Saccharomyces cerevisiae S288C: one gene and its partners. The gene in region 3 interacts genetically with the main gene of each other region. Each region holds a gene or a part of one and is shown on either strand. Other genes may lie near its edges.

The links.
Region 1: mutations in PIK1 (region 3) and SAC6 are lethal when combined (synthetic lethality), as found in Saccharomyces cerevisiae (2 studies listed by BioGRID).
Region 2: mutations in PIK1 (region 3) and PFY1 are lethal when combined (synthetic lethality), as found in Saccharomyces cerevisiae (2 studies listed by BioGRID, with this or other methods).
Region 4: mutations in PIK1 (region 3) and ERG2 are lethal when combined (synthetic lethality), as found in Saccharomyces cerevisiae (2 studies listed by BioGRID, with this or other methods).

The regions. Positions count from the first base shown.
Region 1 is NC_001136.10:712,081-717,713, forward strand, and holds SAC6 (fimbrin), read right to left. Parts: upstream 3,300-5,633; coding exon 3,279-3,299; intron 3,168-3,278; coding exon 1,260-3,167; downstream 1-1,259. Other genes in the region: MTC5 (Mtc5p), read left to right, coding at 1-915; FIN1 (Fin1p), read right to left, coding at 3,667-4,542; YDR131C (uncharacterized protein), read right to left, coding at 4,710-5,633. UniProt on the Saccharomyces cerevisiae protein: Binds to actin, and functionally associates with actin structures involved in the development and maintenance of cell polarity.
Region 2 is NC_001147.6:551,329-555,567, forward strand, and holds PFY1 (profilin), read right to left. Parts: upstream 1,560-4,239; coding exon 1,547-1,559; intron 1,338-1,546; coding exon 970-1,337; downstream 1-969. Other genes in the region: glycerol 2-dehydrogenase (NADP(+)) GCY1, read left to right, coding at 1-724; Paf1-complex subunit LEO1, read right to left, coding at 1,848-3,242; ubiquitin-specific protease UBP2, read right to left, coding at 3,496-4,239. UniProt on the Saccharomyces cerevisiae protein: Binds to actin and affects the structure of the cytoskeleton. At high concentrations, profilin prevents the polymerization of actin, whereas it enhances it at low concentrations. By binding to PIP2, it inhibits the formation of IP3 and DG.
Region 3 is NC_001146.8:139,359-145,736, forward strand, and holds PIK1 (1-phosphatidylinositol 4-kinase), read left to right. Parts: upstream 1-1,519; coding exon 1,520-4,720; downstream 4,721-6,378. Other genes in the region: LYP1 (lysine permease), read left to right, coding at 1-1,027; IST1 (Ist1p), read right to left, coding at 4,922-5,791, 5,897-5,923; PDR17 (phosphatidylinositol transporter), read right to left, coding at 6,205-6,378. UniProt on the Saccharomyces cerevisiae protein: Acts on phosphatidylinositol (PI) in the first committed step in the production of the second messenger inositol 1,4,5,-trisphosphate. PIK1 is part of a nuclear phosphoinositide cycle and could control cytokinesis through the actin cytoskeleton.
Region 4 is NC_001145.3:664,380-668,705, reverse strand, and holds ERG2 (C-8 sterol isomerase ERG2), read right to left. Parts: upstream 1,170-4,326; coding exon 501-1,169; downstream 1-500. Other genes in the region: TOM complex pore protein TOM40, read right to left, coding at 1-214; DNA repair protein RAD14, read left to right, coding at 1,662-1,688, 1,773-2,861; ROT1 (Rot1p), read right to left, coding at 3,184-3,954. UniProt on the Saccharomyces cerevisiae protein: C-8 sterol isomerase; part of the third module of ergosterol biosynthesis pathway that includes the late steps of the pathway. ERG2 catalyzes the reaction which results in unsaturation at C-7 in the B ring of sterols and thus converts fecosterol to episterol.

The DNA of each region.
Region 1 (5,633 bases), on a different chromosome or scaffold from region 3:
AATAACCATCCCATGGGGATAAAGTGGTTCATAAAGGAAGCGATTGTCTACTTTGAGAGGCAACAAAATTTACAGATGCTGGCCATGTTATGCTGTGTCATATTAAGCGCCAGGAGAAAAAAGATTCCAGCCAGATATTATGGGCAAGAATTAGAGAATATGGAAGGAACCATTGTGTTTAATGACAACGAAAGTCAAAACACATCATTTTGGAAAGGATCTGATGCTTTTTCCACCAGGTCTAGGAGTAGCACTGTTACACCAAATTTTTATGGTAATCATTTGAGAGGAAAAAACATTCATGGAGGAGACAACTCCTCAATAAGGTCCGACGACCACCACGCTAGGTTAAGGACGCACAACACTCTTAATGGTAGTAGTAAATTTACGGAGCCGGCCCAAAAGCAGGGCAGCCGTGCCATTTCATCCAGCCCTTTTCATAGTAGAATGCCTGACATCAAAGTCGAGCTTTTACATGACGATATTATAGAAGCTTATGAACAAGAAGACCTCTTACATTTAGAGGTATCAGACATACCAAAGTTCCAAACTTATATTTATCAATATTCAAAGTTACTTTTTAGATGGGGACTGCCTTTAGAAAGGGTCAAAATTCTAAAAGTTAGTACTGATTTCAGAAGTTCTTATAGTTCCCAAGGCATCCCCCCTAACAATAACAAGAAAAGTCCTTACAATGGTGTACTTACGCACTGGATCGAGAACAACGAGTTTGGAGAAGAAAAATTCCTAGCCCGAAATTGTAATTACTGTGATTTAAGAGTGACAAGAAGTAGCTTCATATGTGGAAATTGTCAACATGTTTTACACTCTTCGTGCGCGAGGATATGGTGGGAGATTGGTGATGAGTGCCCATCTGGATGTGGGTGCAATTGTCCGGAAATGTTCGATGCCTAAAAGCTTAACTATCACGTACATTTTCTGCATATTTCAAAGAACCTTGGATGTATATGAAAAAAAGTTCACAGGATATATGGCTTAATAAGTAGTTTATTTACGATTTTTTAATCCAGTAGAGGCATGATAGAAGACGACAACGGAATCATTGAGCGTTGGAGGCATTTTTACAATGGCTCAGTAATCACGAATAAAAGTAGGTGGAAGTTGAAATCTATTATTACATATTAAAAACTTCAGAAATACTTGAGGCTATATATTGTTGTACACTTAACCAATCGTATAACGGAGCATTGGAACAAGAAAGCTGAGTAGAAAACAGGTTACGAAAGTTGTTTGTTGGCTCATTTGTTCAAAGTCATTAACGAAGCGATAAAAGTAATAATTAATCTTGCACGAACTTCGTTGATATCTTCTGGCACCAACCAAATCAAAGCACCCAACTTTCTAGCAATAGAAATAGCCAATCTTGCGTTTGCGTACCTTTCTTCCTCGGTGTTACCAGGGGTGACTAGATCATAATCAACATAGCCCGGCGCGATACCATTCAGAACATCCAATAAGAAGTGGGCGTTTGATAAAGCTTGGTCCTTAAATGATCTAATGGTAGAGTTTTTACCACCTTTAGTTACCTGGTCTTGGGCCCACTTTAATATTTGAGAATCACTCATGTCTCTACCACTTGAGGATAATGTCTTCATGGTTATCGAAATATTTCTACGCATCAATTGCCACACTAACCCTAAGGTCAGTAATTTGTTACCATCTACAATATCAGATCCTTCGATACCAACCAAAGAAAATCCTTTGGCTCTGCCCAAGTCGACTGCATAGTTGGTGTTTTCTAAGGCTTTGAATCTGGATATCTCTGCACCCGAGGCCGGTCTTTTGTTGACATGTTTAAAATCAACAGCACCGGGCATCACCTTTTCGTAAGCTTGCAATAATATCAAACCATCCTTCAAATCATCAAACAGCGAAATGACAGGTGGATCAACGTCAAGAGAGTTCAACCATAAGGTAAAGACTCTTGCCTCTCTCTCACCTTCGGCGTCAAATTCTTCAATTTCAGGCTTTTCCTCTTCCTGAATAGGCTCTAATCCAGGATGTGTATTGAATAGATGTGCCACGAAAGCCAGGTTTAATTTAGGGTTCCCCGCAACTAATGAACTTGGGGTTAAATACTTTCTACAATCTAGCTTTTCAGCATTTTGTAAAACTTGCTCAGCTCTCTCCATTAAATCTGTGGTTTGTAATGGTGCCTTAGAACACAAGGCGGGGTCCAACTGGTTCAACAAGATAGTATAGTTTTCACCATCAGACACGTCTTTTGAAAAATTGGTAACCCTTCTGTTCCAGTTTGCTTGCTTCAAATGGTAGTTAAACCAACGTAGTAGAATTTGCTCCGGAGGCAACCTCAAAAATTGCTCCAACGTTTCATCATCCTCCAATAGACGGTATAACTCAGGATGCAGCTTAATATCAATTTTACTTAACAAACCTCTCCTAATAATTTGCCAAATCAAACCCAGGATCAAATGCTCTCTACCTTCAATAATGTCCTCGGAATGAACATTAACAACGACACAACCAATGGCTTTTGCAGAATTAATAACAATATTAGCATTTTCACTAGCCTGAAAATTATTCAATTCCTTACCCTTCTTAGGCCAATTCAAAACTCTTGTATCGATAGTATCAGGAACAGAGTCGTTGATCAACTTAGATAGCACCAACCCATCCCTACATTCATCAAATAATTGGAAAGTATCAGTAGGAAATGGAAGCAAATCACCTATATCTTGGTCTCCCGCCAAGACGCTATTGATATGTTTAGTAAATTCACGTCTTTCTTCTTCATTGATGGTATGTGTAGTACCTGTTTGGGAGCCAGCAACAATAATCTTGGCTTGAGTACCCTTACCCTTGTGCTGTAGTCCTGTGGCAGCAGTGGAAACAATAGGGGTTGAGTTAGGTGCTACGTTGAAAGTGGTCTGTGGAGCAGCTCCTGTTTTAGATTCTCTTAATTTTGCAACCAACCCGACGTAATCGTCCAGTTCAACACGGCCTGACGCATCCACACCCACATGCTTCAGGGTTTCTCTTGCTTCGTCATAAGTAGCATCACCATCTTTGGACACCGCTTCTAGAGCTTGCTGTTTTTCAACCCATCCTTTATCATCTAAGTCAATGGCTCTGAACTTTTCAATTGTGGAAAAAAGATCCTCTTGAGTCAAAATTGGAAATTTTCTCTAATCGCAGAAGAGTTTGTTAGTATATGAAACGTTTATTACAACCTAAAAGGTAGAAAAAACTTTTTCACTGTGCTCAGCAGTGTGGGAATTCGAGAAAGGCATACATACTTGTAATTTGACAATATTCATTGTGTTTTGGTGTACTCCTTAGGGCTAATATATCAGCTTCTTCTCTGATAATTTTAGTGTAAAGAGCTTTCTTGTTCTCCTGAAATAACCAAAATTTATATCGATAAATCTTCATTATAAACTTCGCCCCGTACTTTTGATATTTTTCCGCCTCCCGAGGAGTGCTTTTTCACATGAAGGCCATCGGGAACAAGAAGAAAAGCCGTTCACGTAAGAAAATAGGACCCTATATCCGGTCAGGATCACTCAAGCTGTATGTAAATGTAATATAGACAAAGCACCTTTAACTGCTAAGAATTAATTATAGTGTCGGAAATATAACATAACTTGCTTACTTCCTGTGTAAAAAATGTGAGAAGGGATATGATTACTTATGTTTCGGTATTTCCGTGAGTTGAAGTTCGATATTGGATAATCTTGATTCAATCTCTCGCTGTCTTCTCAACATTTGTAGTAGCAAGTCCTTTATTTCTTTAAGTTCCACGGTTTCTTCAGTCACTATATTATCAGGTAGTTTAAATTTTACACTTTTCTGGAAACTAGCTTTGTGTATCTTACCTTCGTTCGCCAGCATGGAATTCAGTTTAGTGTTCGATTTAGTAAGGGATTCTATGCCATTTCCCACGTCTTCCTCTTCTTTCTTGAGTTCAACTAATAAATTCTTCCCTTTCAATTTAGCTCGAGGAAGGTCATTCTCAAATGGGGCGTCCTTGAGCTCAGTATTAGAACAGAGGTCAGTGTTGCTTTTGGCATCCGATGGGAGAATATGTTGCTGCTGTTGCTGCTGTATCCTTTCAGGTGACATGAGTCCATTCTTAAACCGGGCCCGTATTCTCGTTAACGAACCATCACCCCCGATTTTATTTTCATTACTGAATGTCAGTTTGGTTGGTGATGTAGGGAATATTATATTAGTTATATGATCTGAGTTTTGGATCTTCACATTTTTATTCGAATTTTTGAACTGAGGCCTATCCAGGCTTTGAGTTTCCTTAGAGACATAGCCCTTCAGACATTCCGGCGACATAATCCTTCTTGGTGTTACTTGTATACTATGCTTCATTCCATCTGTCTTGTTAGGTGATATCCTCATAGGTGGTTTCAAAAACTCTTTTTGGCTTGTCGTCCTCAAAGGGGACATACTCAATCTCACAAAGACATTGTCCTTGTCACTTGGTATATTATTTCGACCAATCGTATTCCCTATGTCACGTAAACTCCTGCGGTTGCTTTTATTGCTCATAATTTGTTTTATTGAACTATGTCACATCACTGCAATCCAGTGAGAACACTGAGAAAGCTCTAACTAGACTATACAATCCATTTGTTTTGATTTCCTCTTGTTGACAATTTGCAGTATTTAGAGTATATATCATTATGTACGTGTTATAACCGCCATGTCTCACAGTATCAACTAAATAGAGCTTCTGCGTCCACCAATTCATAAACAGAGTTGCTTTTATAGCCATTATTATAGAAGAGGGGAACCGCGCATCGTTGTAACTCGTCCACTTGTATTATTTTTGTAGGTATACCGTTGATGGTTAGATATTCTAAGTTCGGCAAACTTTGCTCAAAAACTTTAAATACGTCTTTTAGATAATGAAGGTATAAGTGGTACAAACTAATGGCATCTTCTCTAGTAATTTTATTCACTGTAATATTCTCAGTATTTTCTATGGTGCTTTGCAGATTTTCATTGAACTTTCGTACAAACGTTTCAATAGGTACAGAATCCCATCCCATCGCAGGTGATTCGTTGTCAATAATGTTTGTATAGGGCATGATCTTGTTCTCGAAAAACATTTGGTAAAAGAAATTATGGGCTTGGAACTTATTTGGGTTCTTTAAAAGTTTTGACCGGGTTTCAGGAAAGATTTTTTTTAGAATGACCTCGTGAATTGTATTTTTGCAAGTTGAACAAGGGCAGAAACCATCGAAATTCAAGCGAGTTAGTGGGTTATCTGTCATGGGAAAAAAAAGCCTGTGATTTAGTTGGCAGTGTATGTCAAAACGCTGTAATTTTTTGCCACACACTTGTTTAGATAAGAAGTTAATCAACGACACATCGAAGTCAAATTTACCCATGTAATCAAGTTTCAGTATCTTTAAATTGTGAAACACAGCCAAACAATTCATTAGAAAAAATTCGCTGTAAACCAATGACGCTAATGATAGTTTCTCAATGTTCGGAAATTTCCAAAATCCTTCTAGCCCCCATTTGACATATAACCTGTCAAAACCACCTTCTTCGCCAGAGGGAAAATCGTCGCGACTGTACCAAGACAAAATCTCTAGCTGCCTTAAGGTGGAAGCATCAAATATGTCGATGTA
Region 2 (4,239 bases), on a different chromosome or scaffold from region 3:
TCGGGAAGAAATCTTTGTTACTACAAAGTTATGGTGTACACAACACCACGAACCTGAAGTAGCGCTGGATCAATCACTAAAGAGGTTAGGATTGGACTACGTAGACTTATATTTGATGCATTGGCCTGCCAGATTAGATCCAGCCTACATCAAAAATGAAGACATCTTGAGTGTGCCAACAAAGAAGGATGGTTCTCGTGCAGTGGATATCACCAATTGGAATTTCATCAAAACCTGGGAATTAATGCAGGAACTACCAAAGACTGGTAAAACTAAGGCCGTTGGAGTCTCCAACTTTTCTATAAATAACCTGAAAGATCTATTAGCATCTCAAGGTAATAAGCTTACGCCAGCTGCTAACCAAGTCGAAATACATCCATTACTACCTCAAGACGAATTGATTAATTTTTGTAAAAGTAAAGGCATTGTGGTTGAAGCTTATTCTCCGTTAGGTAGTACCGATGCTCCACTATTGAAGGAACCGGTTATCCTTGAAATTGCGAAGAAAAATAACGTTCAACCCGGACACGTTGTTATTAGCTGGCACGTCCAAAGAGGTTATGTTGTCTTGCCAAAATCTGTGAATCCCGATCGAATCAAAACGAACAGGAAAATATTTACTTTGTCTACTGAGGACTTTGAAGCTATCAATAACATATCGAAGGAAAAGGGCGAAAAAAGGGTTGTACATCCAAATTGGTCTCCTTTCGAAGTATTCAAGTAATTGTTTTTGCGTGTTTCTCGTATGATTGTAATATGTAGATAAATTAAACATAAGTATATCAAATGTCGATATTCTTAAGACTGTTTCGTAAATATGTTAAATACCGGATGTGACTACATATAAAAAGTGCGCCTTTTACAGTGATAATTAGCGTCAATCAATAAAATATTTGTAAAATAGGAAGCGAAATCCCGCAGATGCCAGAATAGGTGGTGTATAAGGCAAGAAAACTTTACCTGCATAAATTAGTATTGAACACCAATCAAGTAGTCAGCCAATTGCTCGACAATCTTGGTGGCCTCACCGGCTTGTACGGTTGGTGGATAATGAGCAATAATAACGGTTTGCTTAGTTCTTACACAAACAACACCCTCAGCATCATGTCTACCGTAGATACTTCTATCGTCAGCTCTCAACAACATGAACTTTTGGCCTTGAATATGCAAACCATTGCTTTGCAAACCAGCTGGATTGTCGAAGCCTTGAACAATTTCACCAATTTCGTTTGGTTGCAAAGATAGGCCACCAGAAGTAGCCCAAACAGCGTCACCTGCTCTCGAGTAGATGACAGCTTTGTCGACTTTACCGGTTCCTATTAAGTTATCAGTGTATGCTGTTTAAAAGTAGGAGAAAAAAACGGAAAGAAATTCATGTTTGAAATTTCATATGTTTTTTGATATTCCAGTTAGTAATTTACTCTGAGTGGTTAATCTTCGAAATTACGCGCATCAACAAAAATCGGGCATTGCCAAACATTGTCACACAAGCTAACCTCCGACTCATTTCTTTCTTAATCAATTGATAATTGTCTCGTTCACATACCTTGCCAAGACATAATTTGCGATCGTAGTTGGGTTTATGTTGTGTATGTAATTTATCTTTTCTCAAGGATCACACAGTTGTTTTAAGAAGGGAATGAGAAAGGGTCAACTGAGCTTTAAAAAGAAAAAAAATATTAATGCGGGTAATGAGTTTCGTACAAAGACATTTCATGGCGTGTTCTCGCCAAAAATCATGGTAAAACCTCCCACACAGTAACCTCATACTAAATACTACAACATGTCATCACTCCATTTCTTTGCGATTGTACATACTAATATATATAAACAAAGTAACGTCTCCTCTAATCCTCGTCTTCGTCGTCCTCGATGACCGCAACCCTTCTTCTTTTTGTCTCGCTCCTATCTTTTTCTTCTTCTTCCTCTTCTCTGTACATTGCTGCTCCTTCTCTTTTTAAATTTCTTAGACGAGAGGCGTTCTCTTCATCCGCGTCCTCTTCTTCTTCTTCTTCCTCATTATCATCCTCTTCGTCGTCAAACGCAGCCTCCTCTTCCTCATCGTCGTCGACTAAAAAGTCATCTTCTTCATATTCATTTCTTCTCGAGGCTCCATAGGTAGTGGGTGAATTTTGCTTTCTAAATCCCGTCTCAAAAGCGGCATCTGGGGATTCTTGTTTCTCCTTTTCTTTGAGCTGTCTTCTCCTTCTGTCTCTTAAAATCTGGCTTTGCTTTCTCTCTAACTCCTTCTTTTCCACTTCAGGATCCATACTTACAATGTATGTTCCAGGACCCTTGCTTTGTCTTTGGTTCCTTCTTATAACAGCTTTACTTAGTTTTTGATGTATTTTTGAATTCGTCGAAGTTGGAATAAACATCAACGTCTTTTTTATTTCACCCCCTTCGTAACACTGGATCAACTCTTGTTGGTCATGCGATACTGTCAAAAAAGTGTTGCTCGTATCGTTGACCAATATATCTGTACACTCTTCACCAACTTTTAGCGAATATGTACCGTCTGACCACTGCACTATTTGTGTATTTGATTCTTTAAAGACATGTTGGTCTTTGTCACGAGAGTATCTCCATCTAACAGTGTTTTCATCAATCAGGCGGTCGTCCAGTTGATCCTCCCTAGAAGCTGAATTGCTTGCCCTTTCGTTTACTTTGGCCTCAAAACTTGGAGGGTCGAAAGGAATTGGATCGATAGTTAAAAAGTTGGGAATTCTAGCATAGAAAATTTCGTTGTGAGACGCCGTTTCATTCACATTAGCTTTACTTGGAATAATATGTCTGACAAGCTCTACATTTTCCTCTTTAAAAGTGTGAGTAGTCTCATCTTGATCAGAAAAGTTATTAGCATCCTCACCATAAAATTTTCGGGTGTACATGGCTTGCTCCTCTGCTTCATCATCATCTAACCCGAGACTTTCTCTATGACGACTTCTATGGTTGATATTCTCTCCCTCGTCGTCTTCATCACTATCACTATCACTTTTTTCAGTCTCCGATTTTTTAACATCATCATCATCATCGTCATCATTGTCATCTCCAAATAAATCATCTAGTTCTGCGTCTTCTTCTTGTTCCTCTTCTTTAGTATCATCATTTCCATTGACTTCCTTGACATTATCATCTTGAGAGCGGCTTGTTTCCTCATTGCTTGTACTATTGGTGGTAACGCCGACGTTATTGCTGATTTGCTCCTTCTGTGGTTGATCCTGTGGGCTTTCAGATGACATCTTAATTATAGTCCAGTATATCTAATTGGATTACTTTGATTGGACGCACCTAGTTTACGCAACCTATCTACTTAACGACTTTCTTCAGCTTTCGTATTCACTTCTATGAGCTTGTTCTTTTTTTTTTTGTTTTTTCGTTTTTCTTTACGTAGCAGATAGTCACCCGTAACGATTGAATATGGCAAAGCTTTTTACATAATAATGGTACTTATGGCAATAGTGACATTTTACATAAACTCTTCATTGACTAAGACTACTTTAGAATTCTTTTCAATGGCTCAATATCACCTTCTTGTCCTTGTTTGACATATACTAGGAAATATGGAGTTGCAGTGTTACCCTCATTGAAATTGAAGACCTCCTCTTCCTGGACCTCACTGATGGTTTCATCATTGTACTTCCTCCAAATTCCATTGCGATTTCTGTCCTTGATATATATCCAATAGTGACCATAACTGGCCTCGCCGCGATGAATAAAAACCGAAAACAGTGAGTAACCATATTCCTTGAAATCGTCAAATTGATGGCTTATTTTCTCTTCCAAACTGTTGATATCATTGTATAATTTCATCAATTCATTATCGATATTTTGAACGTTGTTTCTCAGCGTCTTTATCACATCATTAGCAGCCTCAATTTTTAAAGGAGTTTTCTTTATGGTATCCGATTCCAATAGCTTGATACTCTCCAAAAATGCATCCTTCCTTGTAAGCCCTGAATCATCACGACTCAAAAGCTCTCTTTGTCTATTTTTCATTACCTTCAACTTTTGCTTCATTTCTTCTGTTTCTTTCTTTTTTGCCAACAATAAAGGGTTCTCTGTATCCGCGTATCTGTCCATGTAAATAACTTCTTTGAATGGTAAGGGCTCAATGGATTTAAACGGCATTAATCTTTCACGATCGTAATAAACTCTTTGGATTTGTACCTGCAAAATAGTAGGAAAAGTTGTAACAGCAACGGTACGTATAACATCACCATACTCTTCCATTGTCAG
Region 3 (6,378 bases):
TGTCTGCGGTGGATCCCACCAGGGCCCTATCGGTTTCAGGTACTGGAGAAATCCAGGAGCCTGGGGGCCAGGCATCATCTCCAGTGATAAAAGTGAAGGCCGTTTTCTCGGATGGGTCTCCTCCTTGATTAATGCTGCATTTACGTACCAAGGTACTGAACTGGTTGGGATCACCGCTGGTGAAGCGGCTAACCCAAGAAAGACCGTTCCAAGAGCTATCAATAAAGTCGTCTTTAGAATCGTACTATTCTATATTATGTCTTTGTTCTTTATTGGTCTACTGGTTCCATACAACGATTCCCGTTTATCTGCTAGTTCTGCTGTTATTGCATCATCACCCTTCGTTATTTCCATTCAAAACGCTGGTACTTATGCTCTTCCAGATATTTTCAACGCCGTGGTGTTGATTACTGTTGTATCTGCCGCTAATTCGAATGTTTACGTTGGTTCCCGTGTTCTTTACTCTTTAGCTAGGACTGGTAACGCACCAAAGCAATTTGGATACGTCACCAGACAGGGTGTTCCATATCTCGGTGTTGTTTGCACTGCTGCATTGGGTCTTTTGGCATTCCTGGTTGTCAATAACAATGCAAACACTGCATTTAACTGGTTGATCAACATTTCCACTTTGGCTGGGTTATGCGCCTGGTTATTCATCTCTTTGGCACATATTAGGTTCATGCAAGCTTTAAAGCACCGTGGTATTTCTCGTGATGATCTGCCCTTCAAGGCCAAATTGATGCCTTATGGTGCCTACTACGCAGCCTTTTTTGTCACCGTCATCATATTCATCCAAGGGTTCCAAGCGTTCTGTCCGTTCAAAGTTTCTGAGTTTTTCACATCTTACATCTCCTTGATTCTTTTAGCCGTTGTGTTCATTGGTTGCCAGATATACTACAAATGCAGATTTATTTGGAAGCTAGAAGATATTGACATCGATTCCGACAGAAGAGAAATCGAAGCAATTATTTGGGAAGACGACGAGCCTAAGAATTTATGGGAGAAATTCTGGGCTGCTGTTGCATAGTCACAGAACCTCTTGCATGCCTTCAAAATAGAAAAAAATAAAAAAATAGACGTTTCATTAATCAAAATAGCCTGTAGAGATTTTGAGGGATTGCCCCAAACTTTATGTATAATATCACCACTTATTATTCACTATTCATAGTATGTTACATCATAAGGCCATTGTCACCTTCGGCCAGCGATAGTACTCAAATCTATAATAAATTTTCCATATTATCCTTTACGTACTTGATAGCGTGTATAACAGGGTCATTATTCACGATATGTTCAACTGTTGTCATTTTCGTGTTATTGCACTGAAACAAAAGAACCCTACCAAAAAATTCGTTAGAGAAAAACTAAAAGTACAAGATCTTATACTGAAGACCCTTCATTTTTTAGGCCCAACTTCTATATTAAGAAGATCCCTGGACCCTGCTAGAAATTTTCAATTAGCTTATCATTTTTCTTCATTGCGAGCGTTCGTTTTCATTAAGCATTCGTTCTCTTCACTATGCATAAAGCATCCAGTTCAAAGAAAAGCTTTGATGATACTATTGAACTAAAAAAAAATGAACAATTACTGAAACTGATCAACTCTAGTGAATTCACCCTTCACAATTGTGTGGAGTTACTGTGCAAACACTCCGAAAATATTGGTATACATTACTATTTATGTCAGAAATTGGCCACATTTCCTCACAGCGAACTACAGTTCTATATTCCCCAACTAGTACAGGTCCTCGTCACCATGGAGACAGAATCAATGGCTTTAGAAGATTTACTATTAAGGTTGAGGGCGGAAAACCCTCATTTTGCACTACTGACGTTTTGGCAGTTACAAGCGTTACTAACGGATTTATCTACTGACCCCGCTTCTTATGGCTTCCAAGTGGCTAGAAGAGTCTTAAACAACTTACAAACCAATCTCTTTAACACAAGTTCAGGTAGCGATAAAAATGTTAAAATACATGAAAACGTTGCACCGGCCTTAGTTCTTTCCTCTATGATAATGTCGGCTATAGCATTCCCCCAATTAAGCGAAGTGACCAAACCATTAGTGGAATCTCAAGGTAGAAGACAAAAAGCTTTCGTTTTTAAGTTGGCTAGAAGTGCAATGAAAGATTTTACCAAGAACATGACCTTGAAAAATACCCTACTAAACAAGAAAACTTCCAGATCCAAAAGAGTTAGCTCAAATCGCAGTTCAACTCCGACTTCTCCAATAGATTTAATAGATCCAATAAAAACTAAAGAAGATGCATCCTTCAGGAAATCCAGACATAGTGAGGTAAAATTGGATTTCGACATTGTGGATGATATAGGTAACCAGGTCTTTGAAGAAAGAATCTCATCTTCAATCAAACTCCCAAAACGTAAACCTAAGTATTTGGATAATTCATACGTTCATAGGACATATGATGGCAAAAATATAAACAGGGACGGAAGCATTTCAAATACCGCAAAGGCTCTCGATGGAAATAAAGGTGATTATATTTCTCCAAAGGGACGTAATGATGAAAATAATGAGATTGGTAACAATGAAGATGAAACTGGTGGTGAAACGGAGGAGGACGCGGACGCTTTAAACTCTGATCACTTCACCAGTTCTATGCCAGATCTGCATAATATTCAACCAAGGACTTCTTCTGCTTCATCTGCTTCTTTAGAAGGGACACCTAAGTTAAACAGGACCAATTCCCAACCCCTTTCGCGCCAGGCATTCAAAAACAGTAAAAAAGCGAATTCTTCTTTGAGTCAAGAAATTGACTTGTCGCAATTATCGACCACTTCAAAAATAAAAATGTTAAAAGCAAATTATTTTCGTTGCGAGACACAATTTGCCATTGCGCTAGAAACAATATCTCAAAGGCTAGCTCGAGTACCGACAGAAGCTAGATTGAGTGCCTTACGAGCCGAGTTGTTTCTATTAAACAGGGACCTACCAGCGGAAGTAGATATCCCCACTTTATTGCCTCCAAATAAAAAAGGAAAGTTACATAAATTAGTGACCATTACTGCTAATGAGGCACAAGTTTTGAACTCTGCAGAAAAAGTTCCATATTTACTCCTGATAGAATACTTGAGAGACGAATTTGATTTTGACCCAACAAGTGAAACCAATGAAAGATTATTAAAGAAGATCAGTGGTAATCAGGGAGGCTTGATATTTGATTTAAATTACATGAATAGAAAAGAAAACAACGAAAATAGAAATGAAAGTACTCTTACTAGCAACAACACTCGATCTTCGGTATATGATAGTAACTCGTTCAACAACGGGGCCTCCCGCAATGAAGGTCTATCCAGTACCTCAAGAAGTGATTCAGCGTCCACAGCTCATGTTAGGACTGAAGTCAATAAAGAGGAAGATTTAGGTGATATGTCAATGGTAAAAGTCAGGAACAGAACGGATGACGAAGCGTATAGAAATGCTTTAGTAATACAGAGTGCCGCAAATGTTCCAATTTTACCTGATGATAGTCAAGACAGAAGCCCAGAGTTGAACTTTGGCTCAAACTTGGACGAAGTACTCATCGAGAATGGAATTAATAGCAAAAATATACATAGCCAAACTGACGCTTTAGCAGACCAGATGAGAGTTTCAGCTGTTATGTTAGCACAATTGGATAAGTCGCCACAACAGTTATCAGAAAGTACCAAACAAATCCGCGCTCAAATTATTTCATCAATGAAGGAGGTGCAGGATAAATTTGGTTACCATGATTTGGAAGCCCTTCATGGAATGGCAGGTGAGAGAAAATTGGAAAACGATTTAATGACGGGTGGTATTGACACTTCATATCTAGGTGAAGATTGGGCTACCAAGAAAGAGAGGATACGTAAAACTTCGGAATATGGCCATTTCGAAAACTGGGATTTATGTTCTGTAATCGCCAAGACGGGTGATGATTTGAGACAGGAGGCGTTTGCATACCAGATGATTCAAGCGATGGCCAATATTTGGGTTAAAGAAAAAGTTGACGTTTGGGTTAAAAGAATGAAAATTTTAATTACTAGTGCGAATACGGGACTTGTGGAGACCATCACAAATGCTATGTCTGTGCATAGTATTAAAAAGGCTTTAACCAAAAAAATGATTGAAGATGCAGAACTAGATGACAAGGGTGGTATTGCCTCTTTGAATGATCACTTCCTTAGAGCTTTTGGTAATCCTAATGGATTTAAGTATAGAAGAGCACAAGACAACTTTGCTTCTTCGTTAGCCGCATATTCTGTCATTTGCTATCTCTTGCAGGTTAAAGATAGACACAACGGTAACATTATGATCGATAACGAAGGCCATGTAAGTCACATCGATTTTGGATTTATGCTATCAAATTCACCCGGCTCAGTGGGCTTTGAGGCCGCACCATTCAAATTAACTTACGAATATATTGAACTGCTAGGCGGAGTAGAGGGAGAAGCGTTTAAAAAGTTTGTTGAACTAACTAAAAGTTCGTTCAAGGCTCTGAGAAAGTATGCTGATCAAATCGTATCAATGTGTGAGATTATGCAAAAGGACAATATGCAGCCTTGTTTCGATGCTGGCGAACAAACAAGTGTACAACTACGACAAAGGTTCCAATTGGACTTATCAGAAAAAGAAGTTGATGACTTCGTAGAAAATTTCTTGATAGGTAAATCTTTGGGTAGTATTTACACCAGAATATACGACCAATTTCAACTTATTACACAGGGTATATATAGCTGAGAAGGAAAATAGCTGTGACAGAACTGGAAAAACAATTTGCAAATGTCCGGAGAACAAAAAAATTGGAATTTTAGTAAAAGGAATATACATATATTTATTTATTGCCGAGAATAATAGAGCAGCTGACTCAGAAAAAGCAAGGTAAAAGAATGAGAGTAAAATAAATATGTGGTTAATTAACCATACATATAAATTATTATCTTATTTTCTGCGTAAAGCGTCAAACCGTTTCTTCAACTCATCTAGTTCATCATTTTCTTGCTCCTTCTTAGTCTTTCTTTTTGTAGTTTTCTTTTCTGATTGTTTCTTTTCGATCACTTCCTTTTTGATATCTTTCGGAATCTTGAGCTCGTTCTTGATATTTTCACTATTCTGCCTAGGCTTTTTAACAGTGATAGGGTGTTTAGCATCTGCATTGTCATTATCGTCATTATCTAAGGCTAAAATAGGCTTTTCTTCGTCATTATCCTCGATATCTCCCGAGGGGTCACTAAAGTCTGAAGAAATGTTAGAAGACGACGAAGATAAGGAATTCTCCAGCTTACTATATGGCACATCGTATGTTTTCGCGATTTCCTTCAAATAAAGATCAACTAGTTCTTCTTTTGGAACTGAGGGAGAGCATTTTTTTATAATCTTTTCAGGGACATCGATATGATCTGCTATTACTCCATTAACAAACTCAACGTTTATTTTCCAGGCCATCAAATCTTTCAATTGGCTAAGTTCTTTGACTTCATCAACGAAAAGAATCGCATAGATTAGGGATCTGATAGCTTCGTTAATACCATCATCCATATGCTCTTTGACAAGCTGTTCCTCGGTGGAGATATCGTTTATTACCTGCACTCTAGCCAGTAGTAATTCACAATATAGTTCCAATATCTCTAGTAGCTCAATATGAATATCGTCATGAATTAGCGTCTCCACACGATAATGCGCCTTCTGTTCTTTATTTGTCAGTAACAGTTGTGCAACCTGTCTTCGAGACTGCTTTGCAATCGCCTGTTGCTTTTCTTGAGCATATCTTAACCTTTGAATACACATTTTCAGGCATGTTTTAAGCTTGATCTATAACAATAATTTGGATGATAGTTTTACCCTTCTTCAGTTAGTACATCCTAGATCTTTTGCATACTAAAGCTTTTTAAAAATTACTATAAAATATAAACATACAGTGAACGGAATCATTGACGGAGCCATTTTTAGTTGTCGTATTCTCTTATCTATCTTCTATGTTGACTAGTTCTGATTGATTAGCTGGAACTAATAGTATATATAATTTTCACACCCTTTGGAATTCAGAAGGCGTTTTTTTTTTCATGAAACAAAACAATAGAGTGCGGATAGCCGATTCAGTTGATTCTAAAAGTATATAAAATGCGATAAGCGCATAAGCAGCCATTATAAACGTACATCTGAGTCTAGATATATACGTTTGTGTAGCGGGAAACGTTAAAAAAAAAAATCTTAATTATAGTTTATCAAATGACCATATCAACAGGATATTTTAATTCGTCATGTTGGCCCTTGGTGTCATATTCACTTAATCCGACAATGCCTCCAAACTTTAAAAATCTATCAAAACGTTTCAATCGTAAATCGTCAACTTTCTTAACCATATCTGGCCAATAGACTTCATGTTTATACTTGAAGTC
Region 4 (4,326 bases), on a different chromosome or scaffold from region 3:
GGGAGACTTCCTTATTCAGGTTTTCCACGGTACCGGGATTGACCAGCTCCAAAGATTGTCTGTGAGAATGCAATTGTTTGTACGTATCCACAACAAAGCTAGATATTGGGTTTGAGGAGAAGAAATTCCCCTTGGATTGCTTCGCAGTCAAAGGAGAAAGGGCCGGGATAGTGGGAATTTGAGAGGCCTCTGCTAATGGAGTTGGTGCAGACATGATTCACGTCGGTTATTGGTAGTCTTTTATTGTTTTGCACGATGGTTAAAAGGCCTTATACGCATACACCGCTTTCAAAGAATTGAAGATTGAGTTCATGTCCACCAAAAGACGCCTTTTTCACTTTTTGCAAACGCCGAATATATCCGTCGTCGTAGGTGATAAAAAGCTAAAGAGAATATAAACAATAGATAATAATAATAATAATAATAATAGTAATAGTAATAATAATAATAGTTATATTATAATGGACTACCGCATGACTGATTTCGTGAGGTCGGGCAGCTTAGAACTTTTTGTTTTGCAACAAGTTCTTACCCATGTCCCTGGCAGTCAGGTAGACAGTTCTATATAGAGTGTATAAATCAAGAGTACTGGAGAAAGTGTCCAAAAACCCGAATGGCAACATACATGGAATCCAGCCTTGAGCCAATTCAAGGGCAAAGGAACCACCTGGCATGCTGTATTGCTTGGCGTATCCCTTCTTCAAGTGATGAGTCATACCAGGAGTGTAAACTTCGGCTTCAGTGGCATATGGCAATGCTGCGATTTGCGTACCATGTAAGATGGTAAAATAGTCGTCAGCAAAGTGAACACCTGTGTGCCCTTCAGTACCAACAGCGGTTCCGAATAGAATTAAGTACTCGGATACGGAAGCGTGTAGGATGATCATTTGGCCCATCGCACCACCAGCATTGTTGAAGACCCATTCTTCTTTGACGTACCTGTTGATGTATTCGTCCCCGTAATGAGAGGCAAGTGCGTCTCTGACATCCTGTAACAGGTCTTCAGTGGATAAACCTTCTGCTGCGTTGTGTTTGCTAATCACCGAGTTACATATTTCGTTCAAAGTTTTTGGATCGAACATGTAATTGGTTGGCAACCAGGTAGTGAACAATACGTTCATAATGTAGCCTACAACACCAATCAACAAAAGGAGTGGGAAAAACTTCATGGCTATAATGGTCTGGGCTAGTCTTAGTTTGATTGAGCGACAAGAGAGATCTGAACCCAGTGTCAAACGTTACCGCTTCTTTCTCTTATATACCATGGCGCTGCAGATCTATCCAAATTCTTCCATACTGAAAATCATCCAAACGAGAACGATAGCACCGGTAGTTTTCCTTGCGGCTTATACGAGGGCCGTGGTTCGATTCTGCCCTGGAGCGTAAGGGCAGGAATGTGCATTGCATAAGATCATAATGGGATACTTCGTTGATAATAAGCAGAATCAACATAGCAGACTGCTAGTGGCATACTCCACAACCCTTGTTTTTTTTTTTTTTTTTGTTTGAATAACTGTACTTCTATAGAAGCTCTATCTACAGCATGTTTGACGTTTGCTAAGTTGTAGGGAGAAAAGAGGAAAGTGAAAAGAAGGTAAGGAATTTATCGGAACTAGAAAAAGAGTTTGGATCTTCGTAGTGAAGGTATCGAACGTAACGCTATGACTCCCGAACAAAAGGCCAAACTAGTATGTGTGAAAATGATTCTGTGTTTGTATTTTAACCGTGGGTTTCTTTTTACTAACAATTTAACGATGAGATGAGCTGTGCAGGAGGCTAACAGGAAATTAGCAATAGAACGGTTAAGAAAAAGGGGAATACTGAGTAGCGACCAATTGAATCGAATAGAAAGTAGGAATGAACCTTTAAAAACCCGGCCTCTCGCAGTTACTAGTGGCAGCAATCGGGATGATAATGCAGCAGCCGCAGTACATGTGCCAAATCATAATGGACAACCGTCTGCGCTTGCTAACACTAACACTAACACTACTTCACTTTATGGTAGCGGAGTAGTTGATGGAAGTAAAAGGGATGCGTCGGTACTCGACAAAAGGCCAACGGATAGAATCAGACCTAGCATAAGGAAACAAGATTACATTGAGTACGATTTTGCCACCATGCAGAACTTGAATGGTGGTTATATCAACCCTAAGGACAAGCTTCCAAATTCTGACTTTACCGATGACCAAGAATTTGAATCTGAGTTTGGATCTAAAAAGCAGAAGACACTACAGGACTGGAAAAAGGAACAACTTGAACGGAAAATGCTGTACGAAAATGCACCTCCTCCAGAGCATATTTCAAAGGCGCCGAAATGTATTGAATGTCATATTAATATTGAGATGGATCCTGTGCTACATGATGTGTTCAAGTTACAAGTTTGTAAACAGTGTTCTAAGGAGCATCCAGAAAAGTATGCACTACTGACGAAAACAGAATGTAAGGAAGATTACTTTTTAACAGACCCCGAATTGAATGATGAGGATCTCTTTCATAGACTAGAAAAGCCGAACCCTCATTCGGGGACATTTGCAAGAATGCAACTATTTGTTAGATGTGAAGTGGAAGCCTTTGCGTTCAAGAAATGGGGTGGAGAAGAAGGTTTAGATGAGGAATGGCAACGTCGTGAAGAAGGAAAGGCTCACAGAAGGGAGAAAAAATACGAAAAGAAAATCAAGGAAATGCGACTGAAAACAAGAGCTCAAGAATATACTAATAGATTAAGAGAAAAGAAGCATGGGAAAGCCCATATTCATCATTTTAGTGATCCAGTTGATGGAGGTATTGATGAAGACGGTTATCAAATTCAAAGAAGAAGATGTACAGACTGCGGGCTAGAAACTGAAGAAATTGACATTTAAATGTTGGTTATGTATATAAGAATATAACAAGAAAGTCATAATAAGGTGTTTTGATTGTGTTCATTGATTGATATCCCATTTGTCACTCGTACATAATTAACTATCTCGGAAAAACTGGTTTGAAAATCTTTTATTCATCCACCTTATTTAATAATATGATTACAATCAATTCCTTGGGTGCATAAAATTACACCTATTCTTGCTTCTCTTTCTCGCCTGATAAAGTTGTTTTGCCTTATATGTTTATAGTTTTTAATATTTATTTGAAGGCCACATGGGGCCTCTTTCCCCCATTGGTTGAATAAGTATCCCTGTAGTGCGCCTAAAATGCTAAAAATAATAATGAACCTACACCTAGCATACCCGCAGAAATATACCAAATGGCATTGGAGGTTAAAAATGAGGTATTTTGTCTTTTAATGGCATTCGTCTTGTGTCTGTTTTCCAGGCTCCTCCTCACTAAACTTCTCAGTGATCTTTTCTTATTAGAGGATGGGTCGTCAGTGCTGGTCGCTGACGATGTTGGGTTCAAAGTTTCTGTTGGAAGCATCATTGGTGGTCTATAAGCCAAATATAGTGGTTGCATTGGAGTACCATCATATTGGTACAATTGCAGGGTGTAAATACCATGGTAAGGATCTATACCTACGGCATATTCCTTGAAAGTTTCTGTTTGGTTATATCTAGAATAAGTCGAAACTCCGTCATCATTGCATGGGTCGCTGAATAGTTGTCTACCGTCAACTTCAATAGGATTCAGAACTAACGTACCGTTTTCTGAAATGTTATATGTACCATGCTGATAAATCAACGAAGCCATGGGGCAAGTTGGGTTACGAGGATTGCCACTTACCTGGTAAGTAGCTTCTTCGTACCAACCATCTTCAGTGAACGAATAGCTAAGCCCGGGCAATGAAGGTTCTATCAATAGTTCATCTACGGGATCATAAAACCCCGGTCCCGTGAACACTTGATTTGATTTAGATGACCAGGTACCGTATATAGAGTTACTTTCGTCTTCACAATAGACCTTTTGAGCAAACAAATACCCGCCTAAGATTAGCTTTTTTAATGTAAACTTTTTCGACCACATAGTAATAAAGTGCAACAAATAATAATGGTTATAATACCGATCCTTTCCTCAGAATGATGTCTTACTTCAGTTTAATATGCCGGTAGGTTCTCGAAAAAGATGAGATCTCAAGCTTTAGTATGACTATATATCTATAATCTTAGAGAGGCTTTCTATTTATAACTGTTTGCTAATTACTACTCTCCTTTGCTTACCGCAAACGTTAGAACGAAAGGAAGAAAAAAATACTGGAAAATCGCGTCATCTTTTCCGTTCATGATGATAATTATATCAATCGTTGAAAGAATATTGGTATATTACTATTCAGCTGGTTTCAGGTGAAGAATATTGAGGCTAGATGTTTGTAGGTGGGCATTAAAATTATCTGGTATT